2 linked regions of the Lytechinus pictus genome follow. The protein of the gene in region 2 purifies or fractionates together with the protein of the main gene of each other region. This does not show direct contact. Links are inferred from orthologs where the notes say so. Each region holds a gene or a part of one and is shown on either strand. Other genes may lie near its edges.

What was found.
Region 1: the proteins of tyrosine-protein kinase RYK-like (region 2) and adhesion G protein-coupled receptor A3-like purify together in Homo sapiens (affinity purification with mass spectrometry; 3 studies listed by BioGRID and IntAct, with this or other methods). This does not show direct contact. The link is inferred for Lytechinus pictus from reciprocal best matches to the Homo sapiens genes RYK and ADGRA3.

The regions. Positions count from the first base shown.
Region 1 is NC_087256.1:14,216,130-14,228,845, forward strand, and holds the start of adhesion G protein-coupled receptor A3-like, read left to right. Parts: upstream 1-7,593; 5' UTR 7,594-7,627; coding exon 7,628-7,659; intron 7,660-8,154; coding exon 8,155-8,226; intron 8,227-9,712; coding exon 9,713-9,882; intron 9,883-10,191; coding exon 10,192-10,415; intron 10,416-11,514; coding exon 11,515-11,674; intron 11,675-12,288; coding exon 12,289-12,494; intron 12,495-12,716. UniProt on the Homo sapiens protein: Orphan receptor that may have a role in planar cell polarity pathway.
Region 2 is NC_087260.1:21,524,495-21,537,139, reverse strand, and holds the start of tyrosine-protein kinase RYK-like, read right to left. Parts: upstream 5,872-12,645; 5' UTR 5,801-5,871; coding exon 5,680-5,800; exon of another isoform or gene 5,561-5,679; intron 1,887-5,560; coding exon 1,765-1,886; intron 1,452-1,764; coding exon 1,352-1,451; intron 1-1,351. Other genes in the region: progesterone-induced-blocking factor 1-like, read left to right, coding at 6,102-6,440, 8,179-8,421, 9,223-9,342, 9,622-9,755, 10,391-10,499, 12,156-12,337. UniProt on the Homo sapiens protein: May be a coreceptor along with FZD8 of Wnt proteins, such as WNT1, WNT3, WNT3A and WNT5A. Involved in neuron differentiation, axon guidance, corpus callosum establishment and neurite outgrowth.

The sequences.
Region 1 (12,716 bases), on a different chromosome or scaffold from region 2:
GGGGGTCTGAAATCAACATGAATTGAGCAGAATCAAACAGTCAAGACAATGAAAGGGTCACTTAAATCAAAATAAATAAGCATCAAAGGTGTATAAATTTTGTAAGTTTAGCAATATTTAAAATGCCAAAATAGTTCAATGTTAATTATCATTATATACAATTCGTCTTCTCTGTCCTTGGTATTTCAGTATGTTAAAGCACAATTTCATTTTGTACTACATTTGTATTATGTCTGTTGTAGACCTTAACCCTTTTAACAAGGAGTCATATTTTTCAAATTCTTCCAGGTAAAAAGATCAAATACATAATACTGAATAATTTAATTAGACTGTAGTTAGCAATTAGTTTATTACTGGATTTCATTTGAATCCAAAAGATTTATTTTTTAATCGTGAAATTAATAAGAATACATATTCACTTTATGTTAGATTAAGGGTGAATGGCACCTTAGGAATTGAAATCAATGAATTGTATTTCAAACATATTTATTGTTTTATTACACATCAAACAGATGATTATTCTGTGCAACTAATGCAACTTCTATATTTTTAAAGATCTTTATACTGGTAGTTGTATTCCGCACCATACAGCCATGGGCATATCTTTGTTTTATTATTGGAATATAATTTGACAGATGTAGCTTACGAACAGACGACCTTTCGTAGACAGTCCAAAATAATTCAAATCATTCAATATATTTACTCTGGTGACGTCAGCCAAATTTAGAGCTTCACATGGAATGACAAATTCTCTTACAGGGTAGGGATGACTGTTAATATCTCTACTTTATTCCATCCCGGCTGCTTGTTAAATATTTTATTTCGGCTTGACCAACTAAACCAGATTTTAGATGTTGAAGTTATTGACCTACCTATAAAGCTATATATTCATTCATTCATCATTTTCTTTCTTTCTGTACTTATTATTCCATTCATTTGTTATTTTACTACATGGGCCAATATTATTGATATTTCATATTCTATGACTTATTCCTGAGGATGATTTTAATTCAATGGGATGTACAGCAGTGGTCATTTAGAAAAGGGCACTTTTGTTGTTGAATATAAGATAACTTGAAATAAACCACTGTACAAATGCTAGTTTATGAAATACTTTCAATCCACATGAAACCTTTCATTTCCAGAAAATTTTCGCAATTTATCTGTCATTTTTTTCAGAAATCTATTTTTTTCCATTCATTTATTATTTTACTTAATTTCACAGTATAGCATTTTGCTTTGGTTTGCTATCTTGCATATACTATGTAAAGTAACTAAATTTAATTGCTTTTTGCGATGACCTTGCAATCTTGATAGATTTTAGAGTACCATGCCCTATCATTTTTATGAGGGATACTCATACAAATAATATATTGATATTTTCCTCTTATTTGTACGAAAGAAAATTTGAAAATTAAATCGATTTCACTCAAGGATAGTATTATTTGGCTCAGGCCATGGCCTTAATATTTAATAAGTAATAATCTACATCATGTAGCTAATAATCTACATCATGTAGCTAATAATTTATTTGATTAGTTACATTAATAGCTTGTTTATCTGCACAAGGTCTTTGATTATCATCCTACAGTGTATAAAGATATCAATATTATTTTTATATGAAGAAATAATTATCTTGGTGTTTAATGTGGAGCATAAACTAGAGCATCTGGACATCGTTTTAGTCTCAGTGTCAGAATGGAATTATTACCAGTATCTTTCTAACCTCTCTTCGGCAATATATCACCCGTTCGGAGCTAGATGGTCACTAATGCATAAATTAACGTCATGTTCAGACTTGAAAGTAATATTTAGTTATGTGATATTGGCGATAATGTAGAAGTACATTGACTTTGATATGCATGTGTAAATGTAATGTAACATTTCTCTCAGAGAAAACATTGCTATATTATTGAATTATTGACGAAAGATCATTGCGAGATGGACGGGGCGGGGGTTGTACACAACTGAACATATAATTTATAGGTCAGATTCAAGAACATATTCCTTTCCTTTGTTCAAGGTTTTCTATTCCGGCAAGCAATTACAAATCATGGTTCATAGAGCACATTGTGATCGCTGCTTGCACGGTAGGAAAAAATGATAGAAAAATGGGAAATGAAATAAATCGGCTGGTTGGATGACAATAGACACGGCATGTTCGGCCTTGCTTGAGGAAATGTCAACAGTCAATGAATTTCAATCACTGAAAATGTCACAGACTCTGGTGATCTTCTAGCTCAATCTTTTAACCCGTTCATCCTCTGGCTTAAGGGGTTTGATATTAAAAATCTTGAGGAATGAATTATCCTTTGAATTATCCAGTGGGTCGGAGCATCTGCAATACAATTTTTATGGATTAAAATTTACAGCTAGAAGAAGTTATATAGTAGAAAAGTAATTATATTTGTGAATATTGTTATTGCTTGATTTTTGTCAGCGTGGAGTAAAATAAATCAAAGTGTATTCTATGTATAGAAAGACTGTTAATTCTTTGCACTCTAATATAGCAGCATAGGAAGTGCATGAGGGCAATGGATGGCTTTACTCGAATCGACTCTAAACATCCCTACATGTAAAGTGAAATACTTTGAGGTTACTATCTTTTCTTGACTCTAGAGTTGCCCAATTGAAGAACATTTAGAAAATCAATATTCTAGTATGTGTATGGCTCAACAAAAGGTTCAGCAATGCAACTGTTAAATTTAGTCATATTTGACTATTTTCTAGATCATTTGGCTGAAACACATTCATTTCTTACTGGGAATTTGTATTAAGATATATATCAGTTCCACCCAGCTAGTCCTATAGTGGGGGTTTTTAGTATATATATAATTATATATATGTATATTTTTTTATTATTTTGTGTCTTTTTTGAAGACTCATTATACACTTAAGGCCTCTATGAGGTCTGTATTTAATTGGACAACAAGTGCATGAATTTATTTGCTTCACTAATTGAGTATATGAAGGGCCAACAGTTCAGTCTGTAATTGCCCAGTATTTCATGCAAGGCAGGTACACCTTGCTGTCAATATTAATGACATAGTAAATTGATAGGTTGCGGGATTAATCTTTTTATTGACAGTAGGAAGCGAGTGTTGTGCTGCATATTATTGGGTATATGTAGCATTGCTCATGACCACGACTGTTCAATAGACTTTGTATAACATTGTTTTGTTTATGCTGAAATTAAAGGAGTTAAAAGCAAAAGACGATGAGTGAGAATGTTAGATTCTTGTAATAAGGTATGTGGCCTGTGTCCATGGGGCATGCATACTTTGGGCCAGGGGCGGATCTAGGATTTTCCAAAGGGGGCGGGCACATTTTCCCTAGGAAAATTTAACAAACAAAATAAAAGAAAGAAAAAAAGATTAAAAAATGAAGGTTATTTTGTCCCGCTTCAAATTAAAAAAAAAAAGGCTCCTCACTTCTGTTTGAACGACATATTTCTATTAAGAATATTTCCCATGACTCTCAAAGGGGGGGGGGGCACTGGCTAGATGTGCCCCCCCTGGAGCCACCACTGCTTTGGGTTATGAATTTTTGCCCAAATCATGGGTGTTTGTTATTTCTAAATAGTAAATAAATCTAAATTGATTTCAGTTTGCAATCTCGAGATTACAGTAAGCCCCCCAAAATGTTACGTCTCCAATTCTCCATCGCAGATAAAAAAAAATCTTATTATTTTGATCTAGATTTAATTTTATCTAGGTATAATCAGGGATGCCAATTTCCAGACCAAAGTCTGATTCAGACTTTTTTTAAAACATACATGCATTTTCAGTCACAGAAAACATGTCTTTCACGTATAGGAAAAGGGGGCAATTCTAGATGATTTTTAGACTTTTCTACCAAGCATCCCTGTTAATATCTGAAAACATACGACTGGTGGAGATGTGCGTACTATTGCGCATCACAAGATGACTGGGCCCATCTGTAACTGAAGGTACATGTAGGAGGACTGCAAGGGCAGGAAGACAAATATGCCCCCTAGCCATCTAATCAGAACGGAAAGCTGTTCATAATGAGAAAATCAAATTTGCTCAGTGAATCACACTACGAGCAGAGATCTAGCACTCGAGGAGAATCATATGAGATCATACTCCACAAACGCCTCCTGCATACGGGATCAACTATGGATACAAAGAAATACATAGTTGCGCGGTGGAGGAGTGCTGCTTTGTGAATGATTGGATATATTTATCATAATGATTATGATATTCTTGAAATGTGCTTGTTTTAAAATGAAAGAAAATTGTGTGATAAAACCATTGATTGAATGTGATAGCTTACTCCCCCATTCTGAGCTTCAGTACTTCATATGATTAGCCAAATTTTGTTCACTGCTTACTCATCCATTATTTCTCCCCTTTTCCTCCTTAAAAAAAGTAGATGAGAATCCATATTTTACTCTTCAAAATAGAAATCTGAAATAGAAGTACCGGTACTCTGAAAAATTCATTGTGACCAATTGATCGTAGGCCCGGCAGTCACTGTAGCGTCAGATTGACATTGCTCTATCCCTTAAATTGTTGGAAAGTCAAACAGGGTAGCAGCCACTGGCAGATCCATGGGGGGACACAGCCGGCCCGTGCCCCCCTTTTGAGAGGCACAATTAAAATTTGTAATGTAAAAATGCCGTTAAGACAGAAGTGTGTCCCCTTTTGAAAGTGAAGACCTTTTTTTTTGTCAGATTTCTTCGTGGACGAAATGTCCAAATTTATTTGTTGTAGACTTTTTGGGGGGGCTTGTTAAATTTTTCCTCGGGGGGGGAAATGTGCCCTCCCTTTTGGAAAATCCTGGATCCGCCCCTGGTAGCAGCAACTCTGATCTATTAACACATTTTGGTCTGACCCAACCTATCGCATATGAGACGGAGGCTCTACCAATTGAGCCAACACACCGCAATAAAAACACTTATATTCAAACAAATCAATAAATAATCCTTGTTTTTTCTTGTTTTGATATGTTCAAAATTGTAGGCCTACATCTGGTATATGGGCTATATTTCCCTTATTTTTCTTTTTGAATGAACCATTCTGTTTGCATCTACACATATATCATTCTATGGTTTTACTTGAAGACTGGGATATAATCTATTTTTATTGATTGATCTGAATACAAAATATTTTTTGGATATTGATTCAATTGAAAATTAATTTTCATGGAGACGTAAGATATCAAGATTTGTAGTAGTTTTAGCAGGAGTACCTCAACTGGGTCTTATCCAAAGTGCTCTTCTTTATTTCATCTACTTTTCTTAAATCTAATTGTTTTTTTTCCTCGAGATCTTTTTTATCTTTGATTAAGGAAGATATGATTGAGAAGAAGTCATTTTGGGGCAGAGTAAATAAGAAGCAATTTATGAAATGAATTCTGTCAGCCAGCCGACTCGGTGACAGCCAATCTGTTGCCACTTTGATTTCCTCTAATCAATACTGCAACTCTCAACGGCACGGTGTTATTCTTGCAATTTCATGCGATTGCTCTCATAGAAGGAGGCAGCTGGAACACCAATACCTCTATCCGCATTGACTAGCTTGAGAACTTTAAATATTAATGCAAAAATTCTAAAACTGATTCCACAGTGAATGGTGGTGTGGGTATAAAAGTTTAATACATGATGAAGCCATAAATAAGGACCTGGGGCCCATTTCATAAGAGTTACAACTGCTGTAACTTTCCTATTATCGCAACTACCATGGCAACAGGGCTCAGCAGCCAATCAAAATCAAGGTTACTGTGGTAGTTGCCATAATGGCAAAGTTACAACAGTTGTAACTCTTTATGAAACAGGGCCCTTGTACCAGGATGGGGCAGAAAAAAGTTTTGTCCATTCATTATCATGTACTACCAATGTCAAAAAATGGTAATTCTCCATGTTCAGGGAGGAATAAAACTTTTTTCATAGTTCAACGGGAAGAAAATAGTAATATTTCATATAATAATATACAAAAGAAATGGCGAGTGGGTGCTGTCATCAGTCTCCTCATTTGCATACCGACCAGGATGTGAATATAACTGTTTTGTGAAATTAAGCGAAACTTAAATATGTCATAACTTTGAATTTTACATCTAATTTTGATGAAATTTTCAGGGTTGTGCTCGTTGGACTTTTCTCTTTTTATTCAAATTAACTTTTTGCTGGGGTGGACTTGTCATTTAAGAGGATGAATTGACAGAAAAGAAAATCTGCAATGTTTATTGATGATGGATGTGTTCAGTGACCCCTTGCTACAGATGATCTTCTTTCATATTCCGTGGTACACAGAAAAAGCTGATGATGGAAATTGGCGGACAGAGAGTGAGAGATAGTGAATGAAAGAGAATGGGAGGATAAGGGAGGGAGGTCAGGTAGGAAGAGCAACATCAAGTGAAATATGAAATGCGTTCCATTGTGGTTTAGCTCTGTCATAGAACTGCAGGAATACTCTAAAATAATCCAGCTGTAGTTTATTTTACTATTTTTTTAACATTGAAAATTCAATTCAATTCAATTTATTTTTCATTCTTCAACATAATACAAATAATTACATGATAAATCAGGCCTGACAAAGAGCTAACACAAAGTCACAGAATTTTTTGTTTGTTTGATGTACTGATAAAAATAAAGAATGTACATATCATTGATAGACACTCTGTCCATATAGTATTGATTCAGGTCCCCACTCTGGGGCACTTTCTTTGCAGAAATGGCCCCAGATATCCTTTTTATTAATGTAGAGGAAAGTCTTGAATAATATCGCTAACGAAACATTCACAGCCAAGATTCAAGTTGCTGTTCATAATATTTATTATGGATTCATCTCATTGATTGACTTAGAACAATTATTTCTCAGAATCCCAGAATTTCTTGTTGATTAAAAAAAAAATGAAATGGGTTCCAGGAAGATAGCAATTTTGGGATACACTTTCAGTGTACGACTGTTAACTGTATATAAGCAAAAATAATCATGTTCACACACTTTCTTTGTCTTTATTTCTAAGTGATACTGTGAAATGTAAATCATATGAATAATTTTGTATTGTTCTTTTTTATTGAAAATGAATAAATATAGATTTGAACTTAAACTGAAAGATTTAGGAAGTTTTGTAGGATTTTGACTTGTTCTGTGTTTGTATTATATGATTCATAATAAAGTATACTTTCTCTGCTTAGATTCTCCATGAGTAAACGTTACTCTGCATTATAAAGTGATGATTTTTTTTTTCTGTTTCTGTTTAATTTACATTTTTAAATTGTATCGAAATTTTAAAAATGATGAAAAGACTGGTAACATCAGGAGTGAGGCCTCCTAAAAAATGTTTAGAATTCTAGATTAATCAGTCGATCAATCAATCAGGCAATATAGGATTCAACTTTGACAAATTATGCTTTATATAAGTAATAAATTTGAATGAAATTGTAATATTGTAATTCATTATGCCAGTGCAAAAAAAGATGAAAAGGTGCATTTTAATTTGAAGGAGAAGTCCATCACCCACTGGAAGAAAAAAAAATGTACACTGTAAGTTTGTAACTTTATTATGAAACTCAACTTAGCTTTTGTTTTAACTGAAATATTTTCTTGTGTAATCTTGCAGGGACCTATCGTACAATAGGCTTGGTAGTGTGAATAACTCCATGTTCATTGGATTATCATCACTGGAAGAACTGTAAGTAATTTCAACCCCCTTCAGACCCTTAGCTTTAATTTATATGCAGAATAGTATTATAGTATCCCATTTACAGGCCTTCTTCAACTTTCCTGTTGACTGATTAGAAAAAAAAGATTGACCAGAAGATTGATCAGAATTGTTTCTACAAATATAAAGCTGTTGATTGCAATATTTTTTGTTTTAGGTCATCTGCTGGTTTTATGAAGTGGTGACTAACATGATGAATGTATCATAAACTGTTTGATTATATACATGTATAGGATAATAAATTACAATTACCAGCTCTATAGGTCTTGAAATGGACAGCACATTGTTTCATTAAACTTGTTTATCAATCTTCATTTAATGTGAGCTTTGAAATTTTAACTTTTGAAGTCATGCTTATAGCTACTGATATGATCCAATTTGATTTGCCAATTATCATTTGTCTCACATTGTAAATCATACGTTTATCAAATGCGATTTCATTTATTTTCATGTTTTCTTTTTCAGTATTTTCTCCCACAATCAGATATCAACCATTTCACAAGCGACCTTTGACCGCCTCACCATGCTCAGGAGACTGTAAGTTGTTCTTTTTTTTTGGGGGGGGAGGGGAATGAGTACATTTTCTTAAAATCTGAAATTCATTGTGCCGTAATGAATAAAAGCAAAATCTTATGTACAATGTGCTGAGTAGTGACCACAATTTCAGAAACGTTTGATTACCTCTTTGGACATGCTGGATTCAATGCAATGATAATTGAATACATTATAAAACAAGGTAAAATTCTACTGCAGGAATATTTCCAGTATAAATAATGTTTTAAATATTTCACCACTCATCACACCTTTGAAATGCTCATTTGCTATTTGAAATTAGAGAATATTTGGATGATAATTCATACACCAAATAACTAAGTTTTGTATGTAGCAGATATTATGGACATTGCTATGTAGAAGTTTTGATCAAAGATTATACAAGAAGACAAATAAACATGTTTGTTGTTTGCTGATGTTTCAATTCATTGCCCTTCCTCTTTGTCCAGTTACAAAGCCTTCTTTGTTGTATTGAGAGAATTATATCCTATCACTAAAAATTGCACCTCATTGTGACTCCAAAGTTGACATCTCAAGGGACATTTATAAAAAAAACACCATATCAAATGGAAATGATTATTTACCCTGAATTCGATCTATTCATCTATTGAAGATTACTGTAGCAAAATAAAAGCTTTGCATCTTCTTTGCATTGTTGGCTGTTTTTTAAAAGTATTTTCAGCCTTGGCACAAATTCCCTAGTGAACATTTCATCTATTTTCTTGTAAAACTATTACTACATCAATTCACAAGTAGAAATCTCCAGGGCACAAATAAATTAAAACCTTTGATTATCAATCTTAAATTTTGTAGCCATGTAGTGAGGTAACTATTTTTGTATCCACAGTTTCAGATAAATTTGCTCTGTTAAATAAAAACAAATTTGTTGTCTTATATTTCATCATCTTGTCCTTACGATACATAGGAAGTTATCTCTCTAGGTCAAATTGGAATGGGAAATAGAGATTGGCGAGTCCATAAAAAAAGGTTGAATAACCATTTATATCCATCATCAAAGATACCCCTTGTCGATTTAATTCAAACTTGATCTTATTGTCATAGTAATCACATCGTAACATCTCCAAATGCTTCCCTTGGGTTAATTTCTTTCCACTGTTGTTGTGACCTTTATGAGACTAATTGCATCTATAATGTGGGTACTCAAGCTATAAGGGTATGTTTTCTTGCCATTATTTTTGTTAAGGATATCAAGTATTTTGCCATTCAGGATATGGGGAGAGTTGTTCACACAGTGGTATTCTGTACCAGTTGTACAACATCTACTAAAAAGTAAAACTTTTGTGTTATATTAGTTGTGACGTGTTCTTATCAATGACTTGTGAACAAATATTAGATACATTAGTGTGCATACATGTATCTTTCAATGCTTTCTAGTAAATTTTAGTAGAAATTCAAAGTATCAAATGAAAATTCTGATGTTAAAATGAAGACCTCTCACCTTTCATTGCAGTGAGTTTGCATCAGAGTATCTGGTCTGTGACTGTAAGTTGGACTGGATTGTGAAATGGAAACGCACTCGAACCCCAAAGGTCAAAATCTCCGACAGTACGACCTGCGCAGTGCCAGAGTCTCTCGCCGGTCGCCAGGTCAGCAGTTTGAAGAAAGCCCAGCTCAACTGTGGTAAGTGAATTAATGATTAGCCGGATAAAATAAATGAATTGGAAGTAGCAATTTTGTTTATATATTAACCAACTTCAAGATTACTGAAATTCACCAGACTGTTAGTGATTTCTTAGCTAGGTTGAATCTTTGCCTAAATTAAAAGAGCTCATTGAAAATGTTAAGATTGATTAAGGTATTCTTTTGACTTCATGTATTGTTGCCTAAAATATATGGGAAAGCCACACCAAGCATTTGTAAATCAATCGTATCAAGATCAAGATCGTTAGGCTTGATTCATCTACTGTCTCTTCTCTCCCAACCGGTCAGACTTTCCCCTGCAGATGTCCCGCTTTGAGATCCGTCCCAGCAGTGACCAGGTGGTCTTCAAGGGGGATCCCATATCACTGGAATGCATTGCGTCTTACCTGGATGAGACCCAGCAGATGGTGTGGCTAAGGAACAAGCAGGTCCTAGAGAACAATGCCTCGGCTGGGATCAGCATTGAAACCCACACCATGGAAGACCAGGCTCTCATGACAAGCACTCTGACAGTAAGTAATCCTGCATTGGTGAGTTGGGGCTATGAAATTCAGGAAGTTCCTAAGAGAAAAATTGATTTGATTTGGTTTCGTGTTTTGTTAATGCTGGGCGGCCCCTTCAGTGAAAAGAATCAGTTTTTTTTCCAGGAGGCACTGTATAATAGTACAGTAACAATATCAAGACAATACAGATTTTAAAAATACATAACTAGGTATCCTTTTATTAAAATGTTCTACGCCAAGGTATAGACATGGCATGATATTACATGTTTTGAAAGGCAGTAATGAGCAACTCATATCCTTGAGGATGTCAAATAAGTATTATTCCAACGATTTTTAAGGCAGAAGATATTTATATGCTTTTCACATTGCATTTCCTTAACCCCATACCATCCTTAACCCCGGACTATCCTTAACCCCATACTATCCTTAACCCCGGACTATCCTTAACCCCATACTATCTTTTTTTGGATTTACACTGTCTTTCTTAACCCCATACTATCTGCTTAGCCGGGGTTAACGCCTTAACCCTGGACTATCCCACAGCTCATGAATATTGATGATTTTACCATACAGAGCATGATTAACGTGCAATTTCGACTTCTGTGATTGGCTATTGCTTAGCCCCGCTTTTCCTTAGCCCAGTTTCGTTACACACTGCATCTCTAAGCACCGCAATTGTGGTGCTTGCACCACAATAAGCCGGCTAACTCTGCTTTTTTGCAGGGCCAGATAGTACTGTACTATTTACCGTGCTAGCCCACTTTACTAAAACTAGTGTGAAAACGAAGTGGGCTAAGCTTAACCCCAGGAAATTGGTGGGGCTAAGGCCCCCCCTTAGCCCCACCAATTTCCCGGGGTTAAGGAAAAAAAGTACAGTGTGAAAAGCGTATTCGAAGAGAAATAGCAATTCAAATTCAGAATTTTGAAAGTAAATGAATGTTGCTGCACATTATTCAAAATTACTCTGAGTACTTTGTATTAGGATCTTTATGCAACATTGAGACAAAATTTATGCAATTCAATGCAGTCAACTTGTAGCAACTTTAATACTTGACTTCCATAAGCTAAATCATAGACAATTAAAATATGTTGATCTTTGATTGATTAGATTCAACAGATAACCCAAAGCACCGGTCTGTGGAAGATGGAGTGCCAAGTGATGACTGGTAGTGGGCGTGGCAAAAAGAATGTTATGATGGATCTGTATGTGTTTGGCCACATCAATCAGTCTCACAACTGCCAGGAAGAAATCACAACTAATAACAAAGGTAAGAGAGTGAGAGTCAGGACGATGAGGTGGAAGAGAAAAATGATGATGATAATGATGATGATGATGATGGTGATGATGGTGGTGGTGGTGGTGGTGATGATGGTGGTTGTGGTACTAGTGGTGGTGGTTGTGGTACTGGTGGTGGTGTTGATGGTAGTGGATGGTGATGGTGATGATGATCGTGATTAATGAGGATGATGATGACCATGAGGAGAAAGAGGTGAAGATAAAAAAAAAGTATGTTCACAATTGTGAGGAGGAGGAAGAAATTTGTGGTCTTGGTAATAATGTTGATTATGATATTATGTTTATGATAAAAAACTTTTGTGTTGCACTTGCACTTTGATGTCTGAATGTACTTTCAGTTGATTTGATTGTAATATTCAATAGGTAATTACTATGCATCTGATCAACCTATTCGTTGAAGCTCAAGTCATCATGATTTAACAACTAAAGAGTCTTTTGTTTGAAAACCATTTCATAAATATATATCTGATATTACAATCATACTTTTTAGTTTCACTACTCCTTCATGTGCCTCTAATCAGACACCAGTGATAACCAATGCCCTATAGAATCCGATGATTGCAGTTTATTTCTTTTCTATGATAGGTACCTTTCAGTGGCAGGCGACCATCCCTGATATGACGGCAGAGGTGCCCTGCCCGTATGGAGGAGGTCTTCACTTCACTGGTGGTGATCCCTCAAGGGCCAAAGGAAGACGTACCTGCTTAGAAGGGGGCCAGTGGCAGACCCCTCAGACGGATCTCTGCGATTACGCGGATGAGGTCACCCGCATGCTGGAGAAAATGGCAATGGTAGGAGAGAATTTGTCAGAACTAATTTGTTTATGTATAGGAATATGGAACAGTTCATGAATAAGGTACACATAATTCAATGTTTCAAAAAATATTAGACCAAGTTAGGGATTTATTTCATAAGACATTTGAATTATAATTGTAGTTGTTTTATTTGTTTTCAGTTTTATATTGTGGAATTTTTCGTTAACTTAGTCTTATTTGTTTGATTTATTTCATGTA
Region 2 (12,645 bases):
TCGGAACTGAAGTGGCTACCCTGGGTAAATATACCGCTATTATTATTATTATTATAGATGTTTCTGTTTTACAGGGGCATTCCATTTTTCAAGTTCAAGGAAAGCCAGAAGGAAAGGAGCACTGAGATCAATCCATGTGGCATCCAGGGGCCCGTTTCTCAACACATGGACAAGTTAGTCATATCTTTATCCACCAACCACGGAGTTAGTTCCAATCTTACTAAACCTGTTTCTCGAAAGGCTTCCTAACTAGAATACCTTGATATCGATACTATCGGTAAAAAGAGCAGACGAGACGTAGCCTTAGTCACAAAATAGCATAATTTTCAAAAAGAAAAATTTATTACAAAATTGCAAATATTATGATGAATTGGGAAATAAATCTTTTCAAAATAATAGCACAGGTGAATTATGCATCATACATATTTAGACCATGAAGACTGGAGCATTCAATTGCAGAGAAAATTAAATTATGAATAATTCATTTCATAAATAAAAAATAACTTGTGGACGTTGAGATGGGTACCCCCGGGAGACCCAATTTTAATAGTTTACGAAAGTAAACCATAACGGTTTTCTTAGTAAAATGATGATAATTATACGGACTTTTACGATTCCAAACGTCATCAAAATATAGTTTAACGAAACATTTTTAATCATTGATACCGAAAGATACGATATTGGACAAATTATATGCATAAATTAGAGATAGAATTCATCCAACTGTTAATAGGGGTCTGAAAACAACAAATATGAGTTCAGTTATGGATGGCCTGACGTGGTAGAATCTTTATCGATTAAATCATTTTACTATTTCAAAATTAATGGTTTTGTGGCGTGTACCAACAGTTTTTATAGAACTTTTCTTTGTATTACAATTATCATTGAATGCATTAACCCACTTGTTTTGTGATGTAATTTCAACCTCTATGATTGATTACGTAAGATTATAATTTTAAAATTTCTAGGCACTTTCGCATGTCATAATCTACCCACGTGATGCCACTACGTCATTAAGAAAGAAGATAAGACAGGTTCGGAGGTGTCATAAATATGTAGTGAGGTTGTTGTACCCGATCTTGGTAAAGAGGGCTTCGTGAAACGGTTAGCGGACAAGTAGCTCACTATCTCCGATTTAGTCAAGAAGTTAGACTTATGACGGTGTTGAGAAACGGGCCCCAGGGCCATTACCTACATGCATGTATGTAAGGCTTGTAAGCATTGGTGTACATGTACAGGTAGAAAAAAAAGGATATTTTTTTTTTACAAAAAAACAGTTCGAGAAAACAAAGATTTGGCAGCCCTGCAATGATGTTTAATAATAATGATACATAATATACTTGCAAAGCACCTGTTTTAATGAGAGGGACTTTCCCATCCTTTGTGATATTCAAGCTTGGATGATATAAAATCCTTGGATTCTTGGACTTCACAGACATTGAATAATAAACCTGGAAGGGGAAAATCAAAACATACATTTAGGTCACTCCAATTTACAAAACATGTCAATTTCATCTATTCTCATTCATTCTGTAGTATTATTCCTGTGATAAATTTAAAGTAAATGTTAGAAGAAAAAAGGAAACATATAATTATTTCAAGAATTATCCATTCCTGCTCTTTTATTCTCTGGATCTTAACTGTTATACTGCATTGTGTAATTATTATTTTCTTAATAACTGATTGATTATCATGATAACTTGATATGAAATGCAATAAAAGGTCACCCCCTCCCCCTTAGGAAAAAAATGAAAAACAACTCACCTGCCTCTCACTATACCATGTGTAATATAGTTTATTTATTCCTGTTGGGACTGCTAAAGGATAGTTTGTGGCTGCACGGTTGATCTTCCCTTCTCGGATATAATACAGCTCTGCTGAAACACCTGCAGGTACATGTAACAACATAAAACATGAAATGCACAGGTAACTCAAATCATAAAAGGACTACGGTCTCTCAGTAGCGAGAGATGACCTACATGTATTACAAAAAGAGGCTTCGACTTTTAATAGGATACTACAATTACACACAGAAAATGTTTGTCTTGGCTTTGAATTTGAATCAAGTCAAGGAAAATCAAGAAGAATTTAGCATATTCCTTTTTTTTTTTTGGGGGGGGATATGGTACATGATGACAGCCCACCCAGTGAGCTCGGGGGGGGGGGGGGGGCTAAAAAAATAACCTTCCCCAAAAGTTGCTAAGATTTTACATCCATGGAATGCCCATCTATTATCTATATTTTCCTTAAATCATTTCAATTTATTTGGAAACTACAGTACCAAGACAATGAGGAATATCCCCATTCTTTCTTGATTCTAAAAATTGATTTCTAGGACTGCTATTTTATGTTTGACTACAAACATCAATGTCTACATGTGGACATGTACATGAACATAATATGCCATTTCTGGCAAAGTCACTAAAATCTGCCATTCTTAGGTACATAAATGCTTCCAAGAACAAATTATTTTGAACTCATTTATGCTTTGGGGCTCCATTTCTCAACTTGAAATAATACTGTATCATCTCAAAGATGAACTCATTGTGAACAAAGATACATATCTTCTACGAGTCTACAAAGGAAAAATGACAGATATTGTAGTATCAAAAGTTGATTTGCCTGAAAATGACATTTCAGACATGTAAGTGAAGTCACACATGTAGCACTTGATGTTAGTAGATTAAATGTGACTGTGACATCAAATGAATCTTTCAGAATCAAGAAAGAAAGGAATATTCCTGAATTTCTTGGCATTTTCGAATTCTACGAACAGACGGCGGAAAGACTTCCTTATGTCCCCTCCACTAATTAAAAAAAATACTTCTCCAAAACCCCCTTCTTTTGTTCTCTTTTTTTTTTTCTTCTTACTTCCGATTGGGACTTGGATTCGAACCTCTCACAGCAGAACAAGGCAACTCCAGTCTGTCACCTTACTCACTGAGCTAGCAGGAATTGTTGAAAGCTAGGGGTTTCATAACGGTTATCAACCGATATTAAGACTAGTCTACTCTCCAAGAGTATTGGGTATTTATTTTTTGACTAAATAAACCGATGCCATTGGGAATTACACACACTCAAATTTTTGAAGGAATAAAGCCATATTTTGGTATGTATCCAACTTTTCCTTCTTAAATCTCTTAGATACCGTATTTGTTATATAATTCTTGATAAACTTTCTCCAAATTTTTTTTTTCAATTTTAGTGGAGGGGACATATGGAAGTCTTGCCCAGACAGCTATTTCATCAATAGATTATATAACGTAGGATGCAAAATGTGAAAGTAACGCAATATTTTGAAAAAGTTTTTTTTTTAATGTTTCTTTTTTCCCTTATTTCTAGGGTGAATCATTTTTCAAATTTGCTAAATATTTGGCAAGTTACCCCAAGTCTGCGCAGTCCCCCTTGTCTGCGCACACGCGTATCTGCAGGATTCTAGTAAAAGAATATACTGTACACAACAAACACAGTCTTTACACATGCAATACATAGACAGATATTCATTAAAAAATCTGACTCAAAATGGTGGAAAAGTATAAATGATTTTAGGCATTTCATGTGAAGACCTCAAAATGCAGACTTTCTTATCAAAATACCCTAATCACGTGCAAAGTGAATGGGTGCGCAGACATGGGGTACCATCTTTTTTTAATATGAAAATGACTGCCCGAGGTTTTTTTCCAAGAAAATCCTAAATTTCTTTCAAATAGATATTTGGTACACTTACTCATAATAATATAAGGAACATTATTAACTGAAAGATTTTAAGTAAGAATAAATTCATGTTAAATCTTAACTCATATAATTAGGTGTGCAGACTTGGGGACCACCATCATTCAATTTGAACAATTATTTGAATGGCATCAACAGGCAGCGATGTCAAGAGCAAGAAAAGATGAGGAACAGACATGACAGAGTGCTAAAATAAGTCACCGAATGACTTCATGTCGATCGGTACATGTACATGTAAGTGAAATGGAACAATATTATTAGATTTTACATTTTAAATTATCTATTCCGTGCAATCGCATGGAAGTGTTAATCTGGACTCTCAGTCTCAGGAATCTCTAACCCAGGGAGCTCCGGCCCGCGGGCCGGACCCCAGGACTCGTCCGTGTAATATTAGGCAGAGGATACTATCCAAAAATGGGGTAGAATGGGGTCGCAATACATGTAGCACCCCAAATAACAGTGAAAAAATAAATTATGCACTTACCTCGATTATAGGGATGAAGGTCTATCATGACACAGAATCCTGACATCCGAGGCACAAAACTGGACCCTCAAAAAAGTAAAAAGTTCTGTCACGTTCGTTCTCCTTCTTTCAAAATTGAAAACAAAATGGCCGATCGATACCGAGAACGAACGCGACATGGAGGTCTAACTTTTTCTTTTTTTGAGTGTCCAGTTTGTGCCTCGATGTCAGGATTCTGTGTCACGATCCATATAATCGAGGTATGTGCATAATTTATTTTTTCCCCTTTTATTTCGAGTGCTATTGCGACCCCATTCTAACCCATTTTGAAGAGTACCCATGTCTGCCTAGTATTATACGGACGACTCCTGGGCTCCAGCCCGCTTTGCGTGCTGGAGCTCCCTGAGTTGAAGGAATCTCCAATTCCAAACTCCAAAGAAGTGAAGAATCAGCTCACAGAGCTCGAGAGAGTTGCATGCGTCGTGCCTTGATTTTCCCGTGCACGGCATGTATGGTAGGGGGTCGTAAAACTGCGCGGGTCCTGAAGCTAAGCACCACTCGTCGCGCATGCAGTTTTTAGTGGCAAATGCGCACTTTGTGGGAGGAATTGTGACAACGATTCCTATTCATTTTTTCCACAGAGGCTGCAGTAAATCCCTAAATGCAGAGAAAACCCACAACTGTTTGGAATTTTGAGTTATATTTGCTACAATTTCACATTATCCTATAATAATATGGAATTTTTTTGCTGTCTACAATACCCCTGCCACCCCTCCCTGCCAACATAAGTAGCACACCTAATTTTGTCTAAAGCCAAGGAGAGCAGCAATAGACATTCTACTTTGATCAATGAACAGGCTTAGTCCTACAACATCGTTGGAGTAAACTAAACTATAATATAATATGAACATATTTTAGAAATTGAGGCACAGGAAATACTATTTTTCTGCATGATAAATCGAGTGCGTAGCTTTATTTAGGACCCCTTTTAACATCGGGCAACGAATTCAAGAAGTGTTCGGAAAACACGGCAGGATTTTCGTATTAGTGAGTTTTGTGATATTTTTTCTTGCTTAATGATCTTTAGAATGTTTGCCACAAAAGGCACAAATCAGTGAAAAATAATTTGTTCAAATATTAAAATTGGCATAGTTTTTATTAAGTTTTGTAAACAAAGTGCGTAGCTTTAGTTCCCCCCATCATAAATGAACCCTTGAGTGGTTTCTACTAGGCTCTACTACTGAGGCTCTAAGCTACACTTCTAAATAAATAATGAACAAAACTGACATGATTGAATCAAAACAATACCATTATTGCACTGCCCCACTGCATTTGCCCGCACACGCACAGCCTCAGTCACTCATCACATATCATCCCCCACACACACACACAGTCAACACTGCACAGGCTCCGAATGCTGAAGCTGAGGCAATCATCTTCTCATCTCTTTCACTTCGCGACTTTTTGCGTCTCCGAATACTCACCAACTAATCTTTTAACTTCAGCTGGACTGATGAATAGGTTCATATATCCGTGTACACAGTACACACAAGAAAATAAAACAACACATTTAAGCAGAATTATATATATTATCCTTGTAGCCATTTCGTCTTTCTCTCCTGACTTCACACACAGTAGCAAATGTAATGTCAATGACCCAAATATAGCACTCCTTAACCTTTGACCCATTAAGGATTTCGGAGAGAAGACTGTGCTCGTTTCTCATAAAAATGTGCGAAAGCTTCGTTCTACTCTTTGTTGTTTAGTATTTTATTGCAGGAGTGCATTCTCATATATCAACTTTAGCAGCGGCTGTTTCGAAAGAATGTCATTTTGAAAATGTAAACATTCATAAACATAATTAAGTTTATATTCCTTTGAGACACAAGCTGAGCCTGAGGATAGAATGGCTCATAAAGATATTTCAAGCCTAATAAGTGAGCTGGATACCGACGTCACTGGAGAAATAAGCACATCTTTAGCGACGGATATTTCATTTTCTGCGGGAGATGAAACTGACGAGAATCGTCAGCGGAAATCGAGGCATTCTGAACGGAGACAACCCGGGAAGATCACCCGTCAGCTGATCGAAAGGAAGCAGTTGCTACACGACTTGCAACTGGTGAAAATTGAATTGTCCCAGAAGAATTTGATTATCGAGAATTTGAAAGCTGAACAATTAGCGAGAGTTGAAGAACTTGAAGAAAAATTAGGCGATGCCTCTCACACCAAGCAGATTTTGCAGGTGATTTAAAAAAATATTTTTTAATATTTTTTTTCAAATTTAACGTTACCGGTAATATTATAATAAAAATATTGATCAATAACGTTAGACTTATCAAACGCCAGTTGATCCTGCTGCTGAAGTGCTGTGCTGAGCTGAGTGATCATGCAGATACTTTATTCATTGAAAATGAGCATGATGAAGAATGAAAATGATGATTGATGACAATTTTAGAGTCTAAGTTTGTCTGATTATTTCTTTCCTGATTTTATATACTTGACGGATGAATGATGATGGTGAGCTGAACTTGATGATGTCATGCCTGGGAATGCAATTTTGTGATGATGATCATGACATGGTCACAAATTTGTAAATCTTCATTTTCTTATTAATCTCGATAATTTGTTGACAATTGTCAGTGTTCTGCATGGTTTGGATTACCTCGAGCGAAGTTCGTGCAGGCTCCACTCCACTTCACTACCGCTACACTACTTTCCACCTACCCAAACTTCGAGACCATGAACTCTATCTGATAATTCCGAGTGACAAAGGTGGGATTTTATGGGGGGAAAATATAAAATTCATGCAACATCACGATCTTTAAAAACAATTAAAACTAATATTCTTACTTTACACAAAGTTTCACTTTTTTTCCATGCTTCTATCAGTCTCAAAATTGGTGATTTAGAGCCAACATGAAGTTCCTCACACGTATAAATAATTCGCTGCCGATTTCAAAACATCGGATGCGATATGCGCGAGATACTGGGTCCGGTCCGAGCTCGGACCCTCGCGCATGCGATGTTTTGAAATCGGCAGCGATACGTGTGAGGAACTTCATGTTGGCTCTAAATCACCAATTTTGAGACTGATAGAAGCATGGAAAAGAAGTGAAACTTTGTGTACAGTAAGAATATTAGTTTTGATTGTTTTTAAAGATCGTGATGTTGCATGAATTTTATATTTTCCCCCCATAAAATCCCACCTTTGTCACTCGGAATATCTGAGCGAGTTTTGTACCTCAAAGTTCAGGTAGGTGGAGCGTAGTGTAGCGGTAGTGAAGTGGAGTGGAGCCTGCACAAACCTCGCTCGAGGTAGGTTTGGATAAAAGTATAGATCTAGAAAGTCTTTGAAGATCTATACAAAATACTACTTTTCCCTTTTCCTCTTTTTCATCTTTGTATTTAGGTTTCTCCCCTTTTTCTTTTTCCTCCCCTATTCTCATTTCTCCTTCTCTTCCTCCTCCTCCTCTTCCCCCCTCAATCTCCTCTTCTCCTCCCTCCTCCCCCTCCTCTTCTTTTCCTTTGTCTTTTTCTTCTTCTTGGCTGTGTATGTTTGACATTGTAGGTTACAGAGTACCAGTACTGTGATTTATGCTACATAAATTCAACATACATGTAGTCTTATTCTGAAAGGACTAGGCGTACGAGTACACGTACATGTATCTTCGCTCCTTATTCTATTCAATAGAATTAAACAGTGGACCAGGTTTTTTTTAAGTTGATAATTGATTATTGTTCACTTACTGAAATTGCAAGGTACATGTGATGGGGAAGACATTGACAAACAGCATAAAAAGCCCGGAGGGCCCTGCATTGTATACATCCAGATCCAGAAATATAAATTAATACCTGACACTGTGTCTGATTCACCAAAGGATAAGTGTTACGGTACATCAAAGATGTCCATTTTAGAAATAAATCAGTTATTTTGTTTGACCAGTTATAAACACTTTGGTAATATCTTCTTCCCATGACAGGCCAGACTTGAAGCACAACTGAATGTAAACAAAGAAGAGGCCCGCCATTTACAGCAGAAACTCCAAGCTGACTTGCACACAATCACAGAAAAACAGCGCCATCTGGAGGCCACAAATGCAGAGTTACAACGACGAGCTGGTGATGTCCGGAGGGCATTGCATAACTTAGATCTGTCGGATGAGCAGTACAGTTCATTGAAGAGAGCAAGAGAGGAAGAACTCACTTTAAGGGATGTCATAGCGGTAAGTAAGCCTGTGAATGTGTATTGCCATGTTCAATTTAAGTTTGTTAGAAAAGCTCATCACCAATCAGAAATATGATATCACTTGTTCCACTTTTTTGAATTCTCAACCTAGAATAATGATTTTGATATTCAAATAATATACAAGTAAAGAAATTACATGTGTATATATATTTTGACGCTTTTGTCTGATCAAGCAACATAATATTCATGATGGCACTCTATAAAAAAACAACCAATAATAGTCGCAATGGGAATTTTAGAGTAAAGAGCATAGAAGAGAATGATCAATCAGTTTTTGTTTAAATCTATAAATTTTCTGAATAATACAATCTATCTTTTAATGAATTTTCAGGGTTAAATAGGGTTTACAACTTGCATTTTCCAGGGTTTGAAAACAATGTAAAACATGAATTATAAGCTAGAAACTCATACAAAAAAAAACCGATATTAGCCATCATTACCATAGTTTTAAATAGCAGACCAAAACTTAATGGAAGGTATGGTGAGACTTTGTAAGTATGCTATGAAGGCTTGCAGCTCAATCCGTTAACCCTTATAATGCTTTATCAAGCCTATAGTACTATGCTCTTGACATGGATTAAGCTCAGCCCTGCATCATGCTTCAAATGGTAGATTCACTGTTTCACACTCAATTTCTCGCTCATTTTAGTAAGTTGTATGAATTTCTCACCCTCTCTGCTATTTTATTGGATTTTCAATTTCATCATCGATTGAAGTTTATAGCAAGTTATGTATATATTGTGACATGCTTTGATACATCTGAATTGGGCTCTTTCAGGTGAAATTCTATGAAGAGAAACATCCACTGCAGTTGAAGCTGACTGATCTTGAAGGCTGGAAGGACACATTAGAAACAGAGCTAAAGAGGAGCAGAGAGGAACAGTTTAGATTACATGAGGCAAGTACAATCACAGGGCTGTTTTTACAAAGCGGCCATATTTAGATGACAACACTCATGTTATCTAGTATTTCATTGATTTATTCTATAGTTTTCTTAATTTTATGTTTTCTTAATTAATATTGATGGCAACACTATCTTGATCATTTGAAGCATGACATTCATTGATTTGAATTCAGTAATTGAAAAATTATCCTTTTATTAATATTGGCTAGATATTTTGTATTGATTTGAAAATGGAAATATATTATAGATTGTTTCATGTCACAATATTCTTAGGCACTGGAGAAGGAGCAACGGCTGAAAAGTGACGCTGAAGGAAAATGTCAGAGGTTGACCCTTGACCTTGCCAATTTGAAGTCAACACACAATCAGAATGACTACAAGCAAGAGAACTACGATAGAGTCAAGAGGTCAGTTTCAAAATTGAAAAATTGCATGTATTTTGTACCTGTAAGTTCTGCTGAAGCTGAACAAAATGGCTTTGAGCAGACTGGTAGAAGTGTTTCTACACTTGTTGACTTCTGCGTAATATGAAAATGCATGAATGTGCACAAATTAAAAGCAATCTTGACTCTTCAGAGTTCACAGAAGACTTTTTTTTTATGTCATATTAAAATTGAAATTTAGCAACTTATGTCAGTGCAGTGGCATGAAAAACTTGGAGGCCACACCTTCAGGAATGATTCTTAGGAGCACTGGCATAAATCTGTGACTTAAATTCAAGTGGGGGGGATGACACAATAGACCCCCCCTTGAACAATACGTTCACTACTCGGATTTACACCAGTGCTTAAGAGTGTGGTAGTAGCACTATCATGGCATGATTATGTTGATGAATAATTAACCACTTTGCTTATACATGTAAGTCACTGGTCATTCCTGTTTGGCCCAAATGATTGTAATTATGATTTAATTATCAGCTGAATGCTTGATTTTAATTTCTAATCCTGGACAAATCTACTAACAACCTTTAAACATGAAAAGAAGTACAAATTTAGTAACATCAATCAAATGCAAGTTGTAGTTTTGTGGATTTGTTTTGCAGTGAGAGGGATAATTATGAACAGCAGCTTGATGATCTGGAGAAGCAACATACGTATCTCAATGTCACCTTCAAAGCAGTGGCCGAAGAAAGGGATCAACTTGTCAAAGAGGTACATGATAATCTGGGGTGTTTCATAGAGTTAACCCCCCCTCAACATTTTCAATGACCATTCCGCTGCATGTTTTTTTTTACCATGCCACTTTCATCAGCTGAAACTAATTGATTTTAGCATACCGTAAGTAACGGTCTATTAACCGCACCTTTTTCTCGGCGGGATAGAAGCAAAAGTCGGGGGTGCGGTTTATCCACGGTGACGGGTCTGAGCCAGCCTGTCGTAACCCCTCCCGAACATGTAAGACGTCTGCCAGTTCACAACACATCGAGTGGCCGGGCGTAGCCGCCCAGGGCAATGTCGTTTAGAGGGGTATGAGCCGCGGGTAATGAGAAGCGATTATTACGATCTTATCAAATATTGTCCATAACAAACGCACCCACCTTCATGACACTAATTTCGACTTTATTCTCGATTCAAAGCAGCGTAGTTCCCTGGCTAAGTTCAAAGAGACGCCAAGCATACTCGGTAATATTTTGTCACAGCTGAGCGAGAGCTAAGTGAGCTGAGCTAGCTTGCATTGTATTGTGGTTATGGTGCGACTTAAGCTGGCGCTATTCATTTTAACCCCTCCCCTAGGCCCTCCAAAGTCCCGTTTCACGCCAGCTTATTTTTTCTTTCCCGTTTGCTTTTCATAAGATACCATGTACACCACGCACGAGAGAGACGGCACGAAGCCGTAAAAACAACTGTAAAAATGCCAATTTCTTTGTTTCTTGAACCTTTCTGTAATCCCGTATCCAAAATTCATGCTAAGACATCGAATGCTAGACAAATTCTGAAAGTGATTGTGAGTTTGTGATGCAAGAAATGTGAATGTTTCTTCCTCCTACGCCAGGAGAGACACAGATCATTATTTGATAAGATTTACTGGTACCGTATCGTAGTTTGCAATGTACAAGAACGGCAGCGCTGTGTGTGTGTGTGTACACTGTGACTGTGAGGTGAGTGAGTGTGTAAGTGGCCAATATTGTCGGGACCTTTCTTTCTTGCTAACATCTGTAGACGAATTGATCAAGAACAGCAGATTTCCGCATACCGGTATTAATTTCTTTGGATACTTTGAAATCTTTAACTTAGTTTTTGTTTCTTCGTACCTCAAATATGCACATGTAAATGTGAGAAGGATTTTTTTTTTTTTTGTTTTTAGTCCAAAGTTGGGGGTGCGGTTAATCCACGGGTGCGGTTTATAGTCCGTTACTTACGGTACATGTAATTATTCTGCAAAAAAGTTTATGCAAAATTTCATGAATAAAAAAAAAAAAAAAAAAAAACACATGGGAAATTCATAAACATTAAAACACATAAGAAATTGAATATCAAACAAATTTTTGAAACACCATTGTGAGGAATGCTGCCAAAAAAAATTCACCTAAAATTAACATTCTACATGTAGGAGCTTTATTTAGTGAATTTTAACACAAAGTATGATTTATACATAAATTAACTAATTAATTCAAATAAAATCTTATTATTTCAGAAAAATTGACTATACTTCCGTATAGATTACATTGCACATTATCTAGGTGCCTGTGATCTCACAATGTTAAGAATATAATCATAGTTGTGTATATTCAAAAGCTTTTCTTTTTATTGATTGTCACAATAATTAGTTCATCACCTTTGTACTTCACCCCCCCCCCCATCCCATAGCTCGCCGATAAGAAACAAGAGTTGCTTCTCCTTGACCAAGACAAGGGGTACTTTTCAAAGCAGTTCAGCGATGTCAGCAACAAACTTGCCCATGCTGAAGAACGTCTGCTGTGTGCCCAGGCTGACGTGGACCATGCCAAGCGATCCAGAGAAGAGCTTTACGAAAAGTACATTGAATCCAGGTCAGTTGAATTCTATTCTAGAAATAACAACCCTTGTAAATTTCTTAAAATTGAAATCATTTACTTGAAATGAAATGTAGTACTTGAAAAGGATCCATTCACACTTGATGAAAAGTGCATTGGATCAAGATGATTAAAGGTGCATTCCATTCTAGAAAAAAAATTCATGGAAATTTGAAATGTTATCCATCATTTGCCTAAATCGAAATATACTACTTGAAAGGACCCGTACATATTATATAGAAAGTACATTGAATCCAGGCAAGTTGCATTCCATTCTTGAAAATATAAATTCTAGTAAATTTAAA